Linked DNA regions of Struthio camelus. The protein of the gene in region 1 interacts with the protein of each later gene in a biochemical or structural test. Links are inferred from orthologs where the notes say so. Each region holds a gene or a part of one and is shown in the gene's direction. Other genes may lie near its edges.

What was found. The genes of interacting proteins can lie anywhere in the genome.
Region 2: the proteins of UBE2N (region 1) and RNF135 form a complex in vitro, tested with the Homo sapiens proteins (4 studies listed by BioGRID). The link is inferred for Struthio camelus from reciprocal best matches to the Homo sapiens genes UBE2N and RNF135.

Annotation. Positions count from the first base shown.
Region 1 is NC_090942.1:51,333,102-51,340,376, reverse strand, and holds the start of UBE2N (ubiquitin-conjugating enzyme E2 N), read left to right. Parts: upstream 1-4,262; 5' UTR 4,263-4,399; coding exon 4,400-4,429; intron 4,430-7,275. UniProt on the Homo sapiens protein: The UBE2V1-UBE2N and UBE2V2-UBE2N heterodimers catalyze the synthesis of non-canonical 'Lys-63'-linked polyubiquitin chains. This type of polyubiquitination does not lead to protein degradation by the proteasome.
Region 2 is NC_090960.1:5,020,330-5,027,860, reverse strand, and holds the start of RNF135 (E3 ubiquitin-protein ligase RNF135), read left to right. Parts: upstream 1-4,525; 5' UTR 4,526-4,903; coding exon 4,904-5,254; intron 5,255-6,356; coding exon 6,357-6,443; intron 6,444-6,995; coding exon 6,996-7,199; intron 7,200-7,531. Other genes in the region: ADAP2 (arf-GAP with dual PH domain-containing protein 2), read left to right, coding at 134-196, 1,494-1,571, 2,182-2,400.

The DNA of each region.
Region 1 (7,275 bases):
CTAGCAAAGGTAGGCAAAATCCCAGGTTGAGTCAGGGAAGGCAGCTGTCTAAATGAGGATGCAAGACTTCATTATAATACTCTGGATGAAAGCGGATCATTTTTTTTCCCATCAAATCTTTATTTTAGCAAAAAAGGATGGTTGAAATACTTTGCACGTTTTGACAAACTACACAGATAACACTGTGGAAATCTAGTTTTTCAGATCTACTTTTTTTCCCCTCCTTTTCTCCTTTCGGGCCCCATGACTACCGAGAAACTTCTAACTTTCTTTAGGTAGTTTTAATGGTACTGCTATATGTGGCTTTGCAAAGTCTTTCTTGAAGAAAAAAGAAATAAGATAAGAAACCTCTGTGCCATACTGCTCAAAATATATGATCTGGCAGGGAAGAATAAACACATTTTAGTGATAATCTTGAACTCCAGAGCGGGAGTGTTGGAGTATCGTTCTACCAATGGAAGTGAAGAGCAGAGCCATACTGCACTGGGTCACCAGGGGCGCTTCTCCAAGGAAGCCTTCCAAGGGACATGCCAAATGGAGGCTAAGCAGATCAGAGCTGTGTAGGCTGCAGTCCAGATTACAATGGCAATAATGGCTGAGTGGAAAATCCTATGTTTGGAAGGACACTGGGGTGGCAAACAACTGGAAGATGCGAGAATCTCAGTGGAACATGGCTAGTATAAGGGACAAAGCTCCCTGGGCACTTACATGTCTTGGGTTCCAGCTCTGATTTAGAGGTTTAGGTTGGGATTCCTTTGGGAATTTTAGAAGATTATAAAAGAAGGATATTTTTTACTGTATCCCGTCATGGAAGATATCACTTGGTACGGGAGCAGCGCAACGAGCCAAAGTCTAAAGCCAGGATTCTGGAGTAGCCAGTCTGGATGGCTTTTTTGGCACCCATATGGATACTCAGGGATCTCTGCAGCAACTCTTCTAGGGAGCTAGAATGACTTATGGGAAGGACCTAAATTTTGGTAGATAGGAGAGTAGAAAACAAGATTTTTGTTCACTGTCATCTCTGAGCAAGTGGACTAGAAAAACCTCTTTCTAAAATGAGGCAGAAAGAGAGGAGTCATGAAAGCTGCAAATTTTCCAGCATGTGACAGGCCACTTATTGAGCAATGAAAACTATCAAAACACAATAGCTTGCCAGACAGACTTGTTGCAGCCCCAGACTGAAGTGAGATTCTTGGTCTACAACACCTGTAAGGGAACACTGAAGACAGTGTTCCTCAGCATTTGTCTGAGCCAACTATGCTCCACTCTCTCGCTGCCCCCAGCAGATGAAGAGCAAGGTTCACAGAGCAGAAGCTGCAGCACTTTCAAGAAAGTAGGTTGCACTTTATTCGCACACTGAGCCTGAATTCACCTTTTGGCCTGTGTTTTTTCCTCCGCTAACGCCAGCTCTTTAATGGTCAGTATTCCAGGAGAAGGATAAAAGAAAACAATGACAAATAGGAGGCAGAAACAAAGAAAAAGAAGTAATTCGGCAAGCAGAGTAACAACAGAGTTTGTTTTTTAATGGCTTTGGTCTTGAAGCTATGGCCCACTGAAGATTCTCTGATGTCTAATAAGACTTGGTGTCATGGAGTCTTTCCCCCTATGGGACTACCAACTTCCATTTCCTCTCTCTGCCTATTTTCATAAAATTCACAAGGAATCAGCCTCTCCACCTGTATTTTCAGATTTGGTTGATGCTGGCAAGTATGTACAAGGGTTACTAGGGTAGGGCAGAAGTCTTTCTGGTTTTGGTTCCTAAACTGCCTACAGTATTATGTGAAGTTCAGATAACGTGGAGAGAACATTATAAATAACTTAGATATATATGTTCCTCCTGCATATGTCAGCATACTGGCTAAGTCAGAATTGAGACTCCTAGTTATTACTGGGTGTCATAGCAACATGATTAGAAATATTTTCAATTATTCATGAAGCCTCAAGATTATATGAATGTTAATTCTATCTTTTCCATAACCCTCCACCCTCCGCTTTCTCTCCTGACTCCCTAAGCAAAGTTAGCTGTAATCCCATTCCTCAAAAGCAATTAGATGCTTTAACCCGTCCTCATGCTGCACAGTGGTAAGCACTTATTTATATGCTGGTCAACACTACATTGTGCTTGTCACTACATTTTTTTAATTCATTTACACTGCCACTGCTCTCCCAAGTGACAGACATTTTGAGAAGACATTACTATGTTTAGGCCTTTAAAAATTTACTGCAAAGTAAACCTGCATCTGTGAAGATCTGCGTACCAGAAATGGGTACTAAATATAGCCCCCACAATTTTTCAATGAAATAAGGATTGCTGGATAGCAGTTTTAGTACCACACGGGTTCTAAACCTGCCACATGAGCCCAGGCTGGAAATTTCAAGTTTAAAATGCCTGAGGTTTACATTTGCCCATATCAAGCACATTCTGCATAGCACAAATTTCTTTTAGACTCGTTGTCCCTGTTACATTTCAAAGAGGTGGGAAGCTGCAGTACAGTCACTTGGGAGAGACTTCACATCTGTGTGTGTGATTTCTCCTATTTGAATAAAAAAACAGCCATCAATCAATAAATCACCAATACCGCTAACCACCAGAATCAAACAATAAGACACTGTGCATCATCAAGAGGAGAACCCACGCAGCCTATATTATAACTGTTTATTATAAAGCACCAAGTATGCTACAGATACTTACATACCTGTGAAGCTAGGGAAAAACTGGGTTAATATCCAGTCGATAAAACAGGCTCCACCTTACAAATTTTTTCTCTAGAGATCAATGTTTCACCTTTTCAGGTCAGATGATAAGTCTTGTAAAGGGGATGATTACATAAAAATATCTAAGCAATCGAGTTTAGTCATACTTATGTAGTAGCAACAGGTTGTAATAATTAAGCAAATGAAAAATCCACACTTAAAAAAATTTGAGTTCAATGTATAAGCAGCAAGATGAGGATGTGCTAAAGGACCACATTTAAACACAGCGAATTTGCCAATAACACATGCAAACAAACTCACCCTACCCACTGTAGAATGAGGGAGGTTCTTTAACCCACATTCTGCAAACATGTTTTCATGCACTTGTGTTGCATGTCACCTCGATGTTGATTTTCCTGACTTCTGAGAAAGTTACAGCATTAAAGTTAGGAAAGCAATGAAGTGTTTAAAGGGCTGAGGATGTATACAAGAGTTTACAGAGGTACATATCTTTAATGAATTTGCATGAAATTTGAAATTACTGGTGTGTACAACCAGTTGAGGATACCGAATAGTGAAGCACAACTCAATACTTGTTAGTTGGCTTCTGTAGTGCCAATGGCTCAGAGAGCAGGACAAAGAAGAAAAACTAGGTCTGTTGTTGGGAAATATTGTGGGGAGGGTGAAGGAAGACACACCACTCTTCTGACATCTGTTATCATAACCACCATGTAATATGTCTGCCAAAAAAAAAAGCTATAAAATGTCTGTAGTCTCTGTGATAACAGCCTGTCAGCAATTACACATTCCAGATTTCAGTGTCAGAGCGCTTGCCACTCTACTAGAGCATATGGAAATGGCATAGGCCATCTACAAGTCCTGTTTCGAAGCCAGGAGAAAACACTTGACAGGGAATCACGTATCCCGGTCCGATTCCTGGCTGTGCTGCTAGCCTGCTTGGCAACCTATGGCAAACGGCATTGTCCCTATTTCCCATCATCAGTACAGCAGCAATAATGATGTGAGGTACTAGATGCTACTACTACTGCTGCACAGCTCTAGCAGTGTGTCACGGGATGCTCGCGTGATACTTACACTTACCTAAACGACCTCTAACTTTACACAAGGAATCTTTCGGCCAAAAAGAAGGAAATTCACAAAGTCATGATGTTCTAAGATGCCTTGGTGACTGCGGACTTTAGGGACACGCTTAGGGCCTAAGAGCAGGAAGCGGGCACCGTGCTGGCGCCCGGCACACGCTGATGAAGCCTCGACCCGGTCCGTGCCGAGCGACCGCCGGCAGGTGGCTGCGGCCCCTGAGGCTGCAGCCGACGGCACACGGCTCTCCCGCGGGGCTGCTTCCCCGTAACCGGGGCCGGCTCGGCAGCCCCACACGTCTGCTGCCCGCCTCGCCCTCCCCCGCCATCTTACACCCGCCTCGCGCCGCCCGTTGCTAACGGACGCCCGGCGGCGGCGCTGATGGCCCGCTGCCTCCCGCCGGCGCCCGGCGGCAGCTGCGGGCGGCGGGCAGGGCCCCGGCCCGGCCCGGCGCGGCTCGGCCTACGTTGCCCGGCGTGCCGCGGGCGGCGCCGGCGGAGGGCGGCGCCACCGGAAGCGCGGCGCGGGCTACTTCCGGCTGCGCGTGAGCCCCGAGCGGAGGCGAGACTCACGGAGCCTGCACCGCACCGCACCGCGACGCGACAAGATGGCCGGGCTGCCCCGCAGGATCATCAAGGTGCCGCCGCCGCCGTCACCGCCGCCGCTCCGCGGGAGGGAGGGGGGCCGGGCTGGGGCCCGCACCGCCGGCAGGGCAGGGAGCGCCGCTTCCGCTGACCGGGAGCGGGGCCGCGCGGGGGGAGGGGCGCGGCCGCCGGGCCGGTCCGGTCCGGTCCCGTTCGGTCCGGTCCGGTCCGGGCGGTCCTCCTCGGTACCCCCGCCATGCTGCGGCGGGCACCGCGGCCGCCGGGCCGGGGCGCGGCCTGGGCGCCGCGGCGGGAATGAATGGGAGCGCGGGGCCGGGCCTGCGCCGCCGCCGCCGCAGGCTCCGCGCCCGCCCGCGGGGGGCCGCGGCCTGCGCTGCTTCTGCCGGCCTGGTCCGGCCCGGCCCGGCTGCCGGGGAGGGCCGCGCCGCGCAGCGCCGGCCGAGGCCCGGGTACCGCGGCGGCGCTTAACGCGCGGAGGCCGGCGCCTGTAGGCCGGCCGGCCGCGGCCGCGGCGGGGGAGAGCCTGGCGGCCGCAGAGCTGCGGGGCCCGCGGCGGGGGGAGGCTGCCTGGTTTTAGCGCTTGTGCGAGGAAGGCTGCGCTGTGCGAGCGCTTGACCCGCGTCCTGAGGCGTGCGGAGGAAGGCGTTCCTGCTACTGTGAGTTAGGCTAACCTGGCGGCTGTTAAGCGCCCTCCGAGTTACCGGCTTTTAGATGATGGGTGTGTTAGCGCTGGGTGTTCAGTGCCTTACTTTGACTTACTTACCAAGCTCTGTAAGAACTGTCAACTTCGGGGTACTTCTGGCTGACCCTCTGAGTGCTTTATCACCTTAAGACTTGAGTGACTTGGACTGGAGGCACTCAAGGCGGATACTGTTAGCTGCACTGCAGCGCCAACGTGAGTCTTCTCCAGTGGCTTGGTCCTGTAGCCAGCGTGCATGCTTGTGCTGGGCTGCTAACTCCTGCTCTGTTCGCAGAAGTGTGACCTGAAGCTCTCGAATTGGTGATCAGTACTTTTGTAAGAGTTACTAAGTTATCCCACTAAGGTTCATTAGTCTTCATTGGAAATAATAGCACCATTGTTTCTCATTCGAGTGAATGAATGCCACAAATAATTTATAACACTGTGAAGCTCTTGTTGGTTGAGCACACTGAAAGTTGGCAACCGTTGTAAAACGCTAGAACACAGAATATGCTAAATATGCTTTAAAGGCAATCCAGTGTTATCTTTGCTTTGACTAAAGTTATATAATAGGTGAATAGAGGAGATGACGGAAAAACAAGGCAGGAGTAGCATTTAGCCTGTGTGAGGCAAAGACTAAATTATGCTTACTGCTCAGAATGGTAAGCAGTAGAAAGAATGAAGACAAATCTTATAGACTGAATTAATTTGATGCTCATCCAGCTGCCTTGGTGCACAGCATACAATGCTGAATATATCTCAGGTATGAGAGAGAACACTGTTTCATAATACAGTGGAACTGGTATTCATCATGAAGTGGTAAGAACTTGGCCACGAAGCTGATGTCCGTGTGTGTGGTTCCCCCTCCCCCCTCCCATGTTTTTAATAATTCTTGTGAACACAACCAAGAGATCCACGGTCCTGTAAGCTGGCACATAAGTCCCTTGGCATTTTTTCTTCAGCCACTTTTTGAAGAGGAGAAAAAAAAAAAGGAGCAATTCACACAACTTATTTCCAAGATGTGTAATGGCATGGGAATGCTTTCTGCTGCCCTAGGAAAGAGCAGGGGAGGAAGGGCAGCAGACAAAAAAGACCTAAAAACTCCAGTTTTCATGGAGGAGGGAATCCACCTCTAGACTCTTACAGGATTATTGTCTATGATAGGTTGGTGTGGGTTGTTTATTTCTGTATGTGCTTTATATATTGTCTGCAGGCAATCTATAGCTTTTGAATCCTGGATTAGTTGTGTTATGATGAACAGCTCCTGTACTGTGCTCGCCCTAGGTCGCTAGATGCGCATACAGTTTAGGATTTGAATGACTAGCTATTGTAGTCTCAAAAATGTGCGGAGTACTGTTTTGAAATGTCATAGCTGCAGAGGTGAAAACTTAACCTGCTTCAGTCTTTAGGAGAGACTCTTGGATGAGAATTTTTTTGACCTTTGCTATCCTGCTAACTCTAACATTAGAGTTAAATATTCTGTTGCTGGTTGCCTTAGATGGAAAGGAATGAGTAAATTCCACTGCTACTGGTAATTTAAAAAATCAGGAAAGGAAAAGGAAGAGAGAAAGATAGGTCAGAGAAAAGGGACGAGCCATAGAAGGCTGAAATAGCTGTAGAATCAGAAGATCCCCTTTTCTTTTTGCATAGTAACAAATGTACACAAGTAAATGGCTTTAGGAAAAGACCTTTTCCCTCTGATCTGTGTGCAGGCTTGGTATTGTCTAGCTACGGCCTATTGAGCATAGGGAATCGTGTGTATATTCTGACCATAATGAAATGCAGAATCTAGCCAACTGCTTGAAATGAGGTTGGCATTCCTCTTTTTGACCGACTGCTGGCAGATGGCCTGGCTCTCGGGTTGACTAGCAGCCCTGTGCTCTTCAGCCTGTTTGTTAGTTATGTGCAAACTGTGGCCTAGCCCAGTAGGAGAGCAGTAGCTTTCCCTGTCTCTGCGGAGCGCTCTGTTTTCAGTACTTCCCCAAATTCGGTTAAAAAGGTCACAGTATAGGTCCTGCTAAGGGTTTGAAACAGAGGATGCAGATTTACGCCTAGTTTTCAGATTTTCTGTCCTCAGATTAGTTACTTAGGAACGTAGGGTTTAAGCAACCAGCGTGAATGAATGAATCTGTAAGCTCAAGAGATGACTTGCTTTAGAGGTATGACTTAGTGGTGTTAGAACGTCACAAATGGCTAATA
Region 2 (7,531 bases), on another chromosome or scaffold:
CCTTTACTGAGCAGCCAAAGAAAAACCCAAGCCCCAAAAGCCAAAATTGATGGTGATTTGCTTTGACAGAAACAGAACAGAAAAGTGAGCCTGAATGAGATGGCTGACTTTTTTTTTTGTTTTGTTCTCCTAGCTCATACCCAGGATTACAAGAAATTATATCAAAGAAGGATATATGGAGAAAACGGGACCAAAGGTAGGTTCAGCTTACATACTTGGCAGTAGGCAAACAGGATTCTTCCAGATGGAGAATATTTGATAATGCTGTGGTGTTTAGTAGTAAATGATTTGTTGAGTGACTAATTGCTTCCTGGGTTGATAAAAGAGATTATATTCTAGCCTATAATGTTCTCTGGAATTCTGTTTAATTTTGTATGGAAAATAAGACTGGGAAGGAGGATCCTCCTTGAAAAGTAAGCAAGATGAATTAACTGACAGTGGAAACGCAAAGTGCTATTATGCAACACTAAATGGGTTGCTGTATCGTACGCCCATTAACTGCAGCTCTAGAATTGGCAGCACTCTGTAGAACAGAAAATCACATGCTGACTCCCCCTACTTCCCTCTTAAACTTGGTAGCACAGAAGTCACATCTGTTTACAGCAAGGAAATATGATAGAGCGACTACTTTGCAGTGAAGTCTATGGTTTAGTTTGTTTTTTGCGGGAGAGTATTTGGCTGCTACTTCTTGGAAAAGAATGGGAGAGGGAGAGTGCAGACTCTGCTTGGAGAAGGAGAGAAAGATCTGAGGTCTTATCTGAACACTGCTGCCTCTTGTCCTGCTCTCCACTGAATAAGCTCTGAGTCAAAGTCCCATTAAAAAGTTCAGTAGTAAAAGGCTGATATTGAATATATGCTGTTTTTTTGGCCCAAGTTAGTGCTAGCGTCCCAAAAGATCTTCCTGCAGGTCCTGGCATAGAGCATGCTCAAAGCCAACAGCATGAAAGATGATTTGTTGGTTTTTTTTTTTTTTTTCACTTAAGGCCTAAATTCTGCTCAAACTGCAGTGAGCCCTAGAAGAGGGCCCTTAATCCATCAGAGGAGTGAATAGATCAGGGCATGCTCAGATGAGCACAGTTGATAGAATTAGCACTTTTTAAAACTTAAATTGTAAAAACAACCCCCAACCAAAATACGGAAATGGCCTGCACACACTCTTCATGACAGCCACTGGCCCAGGATCATTCTCTGCAGTGTTTTCAGTTAATCCATTTGCTGCAACTTTCTGAAACCTGATAGTTTGATCGCTTGTAGAACCAAACTGTCCTGCCTCACCTAAAGGATTGTCATTGAATACAAATCTCTAGTGTGAACCCAGAGAGAAGGGAGCTGAGGTCTGCACATAGCAGTGAGTCACCTATTACCAGTTATGGTGCTAAAGTGACACTGAACTCAAGCTTGGAGACAGAGAAGCAGCTGAGGGGTCTGCCCTGAATAGGTAGAACTCTCCTTTGGGACTTGGTCTTTAAAGAACTTCTGCCATCTCCTTGCAGCAGAAGGAGGCCTTTAAGGTGCGCTGGTTCAGCCTGGACTCTCAAGAGAGGATCCTGATTTACTTTAAAAATCCACTGGTAAGAAGAGTGTTCTTCACTATTCCACAAGCCCCTTCATGGAGTGGGGAGTGCTGTTCTTACCCCACTTTGCCAGTGGCTGCGCAAGACTGAGACAGGTGCTTCCCAAGAGCTCGTCTCCTTTGTTGGTGGATCTCTTTGGAGCAGAGCAATTTGGGAACTCCAGCCCTCCTAGTAGCTGTGAGGAAGATCTAGGTCTTTTAAAAATCACTGCACCTGCCACGAGAATTTATAGTCCACTCACTCCCACCCGTGTTGCAGGTGTGTATGTAACATTAGGGGAATACTAATAACAGAGGCTTGAGAGCCCCTATATTGTGCTTCCTAACTCTGAATGCTTCCTAACACTTTCTAACACGTTTCACCCCAAGAATATCCTGCCATGCTCCTTCTGAACACCTACCAGCCAGCTCTGCAAGGATGGGTCCTTACTTCTTTCTTTGGAGAATGCCTGTGAGCACAAAAAAGCTCTGTTGTGTTTTCTGTTCCTTGTCATCAGTGTCCCCTCCATGGGTCCGCAGTTCCTGCTCCATGCCAAAGGATGGAACAATGTCTGCTGGAGCCACACTGTCAACTGGCTAATGGATGTCTTCTGATTCTTTCTTTCTAGGATGCATTTGAACAGGGCCATGTTTTTATTGGAACGACGGATAAGGGATATGAAGTACGAGCTGGCTTTCCCCAGGGAATCCGAGTGAAGAAGAGGAAACCGGGGATCACTGTGGTCACACCAATGAGAGAGTTTGTGTTTATATGCGAGAACGACAGGGAGCAGAGGGAGTGGATAGATGCTTTGAATGGAGTCCTTGCCCAGCCTTTGACAGGCTAAGACTAGCACAGAGTTGCAGTGAACTGCACTTTTGGGTTCTGTTCAGCGCTGCTCTGTGGCCTCTTTCTGTTGGCAAGGATAGTGCTCAAGGCCCTGCAGTGAGTGACTAGTACCGAGGACTTCTTCCTTGAACAGCTGCAGGCACAAGAAGAGGGGCAGTAGAGAAATGAGTTAGAGGGGGATACGGATGTTTAGAAAGGATCTGTGTCCCTGCAGAACCTTGCATGAAGTGTCTTCTCTCTTCCTTCCCTTGTCTGTTTTTGAGAGGAGGCAGCCTTCCTCGCCTGAGGTAGGGATGAACCAGCCAGCGCTGTCTTATGGAAAAAGAGGCAAGGTCAGCAGAGAAATTCTGACGCCAGGAGAGACTGACATGCATTTCCTTGAGGACCCCTGTAGGTGCTGTTATACCAGATCCTCCCGCTCTGGCCTCAGTCTGAGGTCAGAAGAGGATGCCTATACATCCTGTAGGATGATGTATTTGACAGTTTGGCACGTGGCATATATCCTGTTGGTGAACATGATCATCCGTTACTTGAGTCCATACAACTCGTGACCAAGAGGCAAAAAGATCATCACCTACCAGGAAGATGCAGAGTGTCCTGTCGGATAGACCTAAAATGCCAATTTGTGCTGGAGTTACTGGATGTCTTACTGTGGGAGGAGCACAGCCAAGCAGCGGCTGCATACTCTGGCAGTCACTGAGCACATGTAAAGCTCAGGAGCTGTGCTCCACCTGCCTGCAGCTCCTCTCCAGACAGGGACAGGGTTGTTTTCAGTGGGTTTAATGTCTTTTACAGTGTTGTATTTCTGGTACAGAAATTATAGAAATAAAAGTCATGTTTGAATTGTAGAGGATACTGTAATGGACTCAATCTGATGACAAATACCCCTAGCTGCTTGCTTTTGGCAGTCTCTGCTATTTGACTCTTCTATAACTGGCAGATCTGACGTGTGAACATCAAATTTTTCCAAAGCAAAGCTGGATAGTGGGTGCCCCAACCAAGGCATTATGAGTTCAGGATGAAGATATGCTGACCTGTCCTACCTCCGGGAAGTCCAGCTGAAGCTTTGGGTTCTAGATTCACTTAATGAGTTGGTCTAATATGGGGACTGAAAGGCAGAAGCTACTTTTAAAAGTGTTATCTTCAGTGACCTGCTTGAAGACACTCGGTGAATAAGTACCAGCACTGGAAGTGGAGGGTGAATGCCTCCTGATCGGGTGCCACTTAATCTGTTCCATGCAGAAATTAGTGAAGATTTACATGGGCTGATACAGTGCACTGAGCTTTTTCTTGCTGGACAGAGTGTAAGGTTTGATTCTGCCAAGCAGCCAGTCATTCAGATATTTGATTCTTCTCTTTTATACTGCCTTAGTTTGCAAATCAAGCGGAAGTCTTGCAAACTAAGTTTCTGGTAAAGCTGTCACCTCTTGCTGATGCTTGCCAGCCAGTCTGAGATACCCAGAATAGTTCTCCTCTTCTGCAGAAATGAGGAAGTGCTGATATGTGCAGGGATTAGTGAGATTAACTTTGTATGTGTGTGTGTGCAATAGTGGGCAAAAATGATTTGAGTTGGATCTTCATTCTGCCTGTCTCAGCCAGCTCATCACCATCTCACCCTGAGCAATCTGCAGCAGGAGTTTTGCTTGCTTATACGCTCCCATAAACTCCCGTGTTCCCATTCTCGCCACACAGCCCAAATTCCAGTTTGTGGTGATTCAGCAAATCTTGTAGCAATCTGATCCAGCAGCCACCGAAATCAATAGCAAAGCACCTGCTGACTTGTATGAGGAAGAGTATCAGTCTTGGTTTGGTTTTACACACCTGAGTAACAGGGGATGATGCTCAGTAGGGAGCAGGCCACCCAGTAGCCTAAACTTCCTGGATGGTGCTGTGCTGGTCCCACTGAGCTGTGTTACTTGCTCTCCCAGACGGGTCAGTAGGCCAGCCCTGTCAGCAACTCTACTGAGACTTCTCTAACAAAACCAGGAAACTCCCTGAGAAAGTGAAATAGTGCAGATGCGACAACTTTTTTGCCAGAGTCAGTAAAAGTCAAGGCCGGATCACAGAGTGCTCTGCATGACAGTTCCTTTCTAAGTCAAACCAATTCATAGACCAGAGCTGCCAGAAGAGGGGAGTGCTGGGCCAGGCACTGAACTTTCCGGCTGCGCCCTGCGTCTTGGCCTGGAGTCTGTGGGAGCCTCCCGGCCCGTTTCTGCTCCATCCTGCCTGCCTGGGGTGAGCTCGGCAGCCTCGGCCCAGCTGTGGGGCCCAGCCGTGTGGGTGGACCCATCTCCACCGCAGCACAGCAGCCTCTCAGTGGAGCCAGCGTTAGAGGAGAGGCACCATCCTGCGGTGTCCTTGGCTCTCTCCCTTCGCTCTCGGAGGGGATACCCTGTCCCCACCATCCCATTGCCGTCTCCTGGCTTTCGCACACAGAGGGAGCCTCTGGGAAGGCAGGAGGAGGGGCGCCTGTGGGAACCGAAACTGAAACGCCAGAGATCATGGCGGCCTCTGTGGATCTCCGGCAGCTCCAGGCCAAGCTGGACTTGAAGTGCCCATGCTGCCTGCTGTACTTCACCGACCCCGTGCGGCTCGCAGGCTGCAGCCACAGCTTCTGCCGGTCCTGCATCACCACCTACTACTGCAAGGTGAAGAGGAGCGCCGGCTGTCCGCTCTGCCGCGAAGGCTTTGAGCTGAAGGACTTACGGCCCAACCGGGAGCTGGCCGTTCTGGTGAACTTGGTCCCCAGGGAGGAAAAGGAGAAAGAGTGGGAGAAAGAGGAGGAACCGGAACCGGCCAGAGCTGGCGCCTGGGGTGGCCAGCGCTCAGCAGGGCGGAGAGAAGCCGTGAAGGTATGGCCGGAGGCCGCCCGGGGATCCTGCTAGCGGCAGCCCCCTGGGACAGGCAGGGACAGCCCAGGGCTCCTGCCCTCACCTCCCCAGGAGATCCTGGGGCTCCTGCCCAGAGTAACCCCCAGGGATACCCTTCTGCAGGGCTGTGAAAATGGGGATGAGGCTGGAACTGAGTTAACTTCATCTGTTTTCTTGCATTTTTTTTTCCTTCTGGCTACTTTGCATTTCACATGCCAGTTTAGCATTCTCATAACAGTATCACATTGAGAGGGCTGCATATATGCAAAAGGGGTGCTACGAGAGGATGCTGGAGCACTACCTGTTGATCACCGAAGGGCTAGAGACTTTAGATGTCTGTAAATATATCTTCACTTGTTTTCTTTTTCTTTCTCTCCATCTCTGTTACTGTCTTTCGTTTCCGTCTCCATTTTTCACCATTGCCTTATTATTCCTCCAGTTAAAACTAGCAATGGGCAAACAGTGTAATCCCAGCGTGTGGTATCCCTCGCCTTGAGCGCTGAGCATCCTGGAAGACAGAGCGTTGCTTCAGTTGTTTTGTATCCCAGTCCCTGTCTGTTCTTTCCCTCCTCTTTTCATAAACATCTTTAAGCGGTGTTATTTATTGCACAGGCTTAGCTGGAGACAGCTAACTGAAACATAACATTATTTATACGGTGCTACAGCTCCCCCTAGCCAAACGGCACAAAATGCCTCTGGTTCATTATCTACGTCTCTGCTTAAAAAGAAAAAAACTTTAAACAACTCCCACATTTTGATGGAAGAGATGAGCAAAATCTGACTATTGACTCGCATTATTTTAGCACTATACGCACATACGTACACACACAAGACAGTTATCTTCAATCTCTGCAGTCAAGCAGAGGGCTTAAGCTCATAATGACATTTGAACATGTAATTGTTGAATGTTGACTTTGCTGTGATTATTCACACTCAGAATTAATTGTGAGCTCTACCCCGCTTTGAACCAGTCAGTGCATCGCTAATATCCATGATGTAGGGGGTTTTATTACTCTGCTGTATAACGTAGTCATGTTTTCTCTGAGTGTTATATAGATAAACAGTCCAATGTGTCACTTTAAAGGAGGAAGAGATAAGTGAGATCTCCAAGCAACTGGAAATGACTGAAGAGACCATCCGCCTCTTGAGGGAGGATCTCAGTAAAACAAAGGTATGGATGTGTACGTTCATTAACTGCAGTTAACTTCTGTTTCCACATCCACCTGGAGAACCTGACTGACACCAGTGCAGCCTTCTAGCCCAAAGCAGGGATTTCCTTTTCGTTTCCTTTTGCTCTCATACCTCTTTTTTTTTTTTTTTCTGCTGAGTGTGGACTATGGCACCAGCTGCGTTAACCCCTGCCTTAGCTGGCGCAAGGGCCACAGGAGTTGCATGTTGTTGTCTTTTTCTGCCTATCCCAGGAGCAGCCTGGATGCTTCTGGAACCCTTAGAGGCAAAAGGCAAGGCATGAAGAGGGAATATTGATCTTTGCGAAGATGCTGACCAAAGACTGCTGGCCATAAAACAGTCAAGATCCGTAACATGCTCAAAATCCGACTGCAAGCAATGCAGGACAGTGCAAACATGTTTTATTCCTTTAAATAAAGACAGCTGCTACTGGTCTGTAGACGTCAGTCAAAGTGCATTAGATGAAGCACTAGCTTCTCATATTACACACATCTTTTCTACAAACACAAAAAACTCCGTGTTTTCTGCCTTCCAGGAATATACATTTCAGATCAAAAGCCAGATTACTAAAGATTTCTGTTGCATGAAGGAATACATTGAAAGGCAGGAGAGAAACACACTGATGTTCATTGAACAAGAGCAACAAGCAACGCAACAGAAAATTGAAGAGACTATTGACCAGCTCTGTGTTGAAGTGAACAAGCTCACAGACATCAAAGCCCAAATGGAGAAAGGACTGGTAAGTGATGAAACGAGGTGGCTGAATGTAAGTAGAAACTCTTGAGCTAAATCTCTTAAAAGGCTGAACATGTACAGAGCCCTTTCAGATCTCCACTGCACTATTCTCACTAGTTACCACCGTTACTGCTGCCAGTGAAAGTTTGGAGTGGAAAATTCAGAGGGGAAAAAATACTAGAACAGGCATAGGCTAGAGATGCAAATTCAGAACTAGACTTGTTCCGAGGAGGTTAGTGAGCTGGAATGAAGTGGGGACTGCACTTGCTTAAATCCAGTCCTGAGTCAAACCTGAGGTTAAGATCCTTTATTATATTTTTATTTGTATATTCCAGA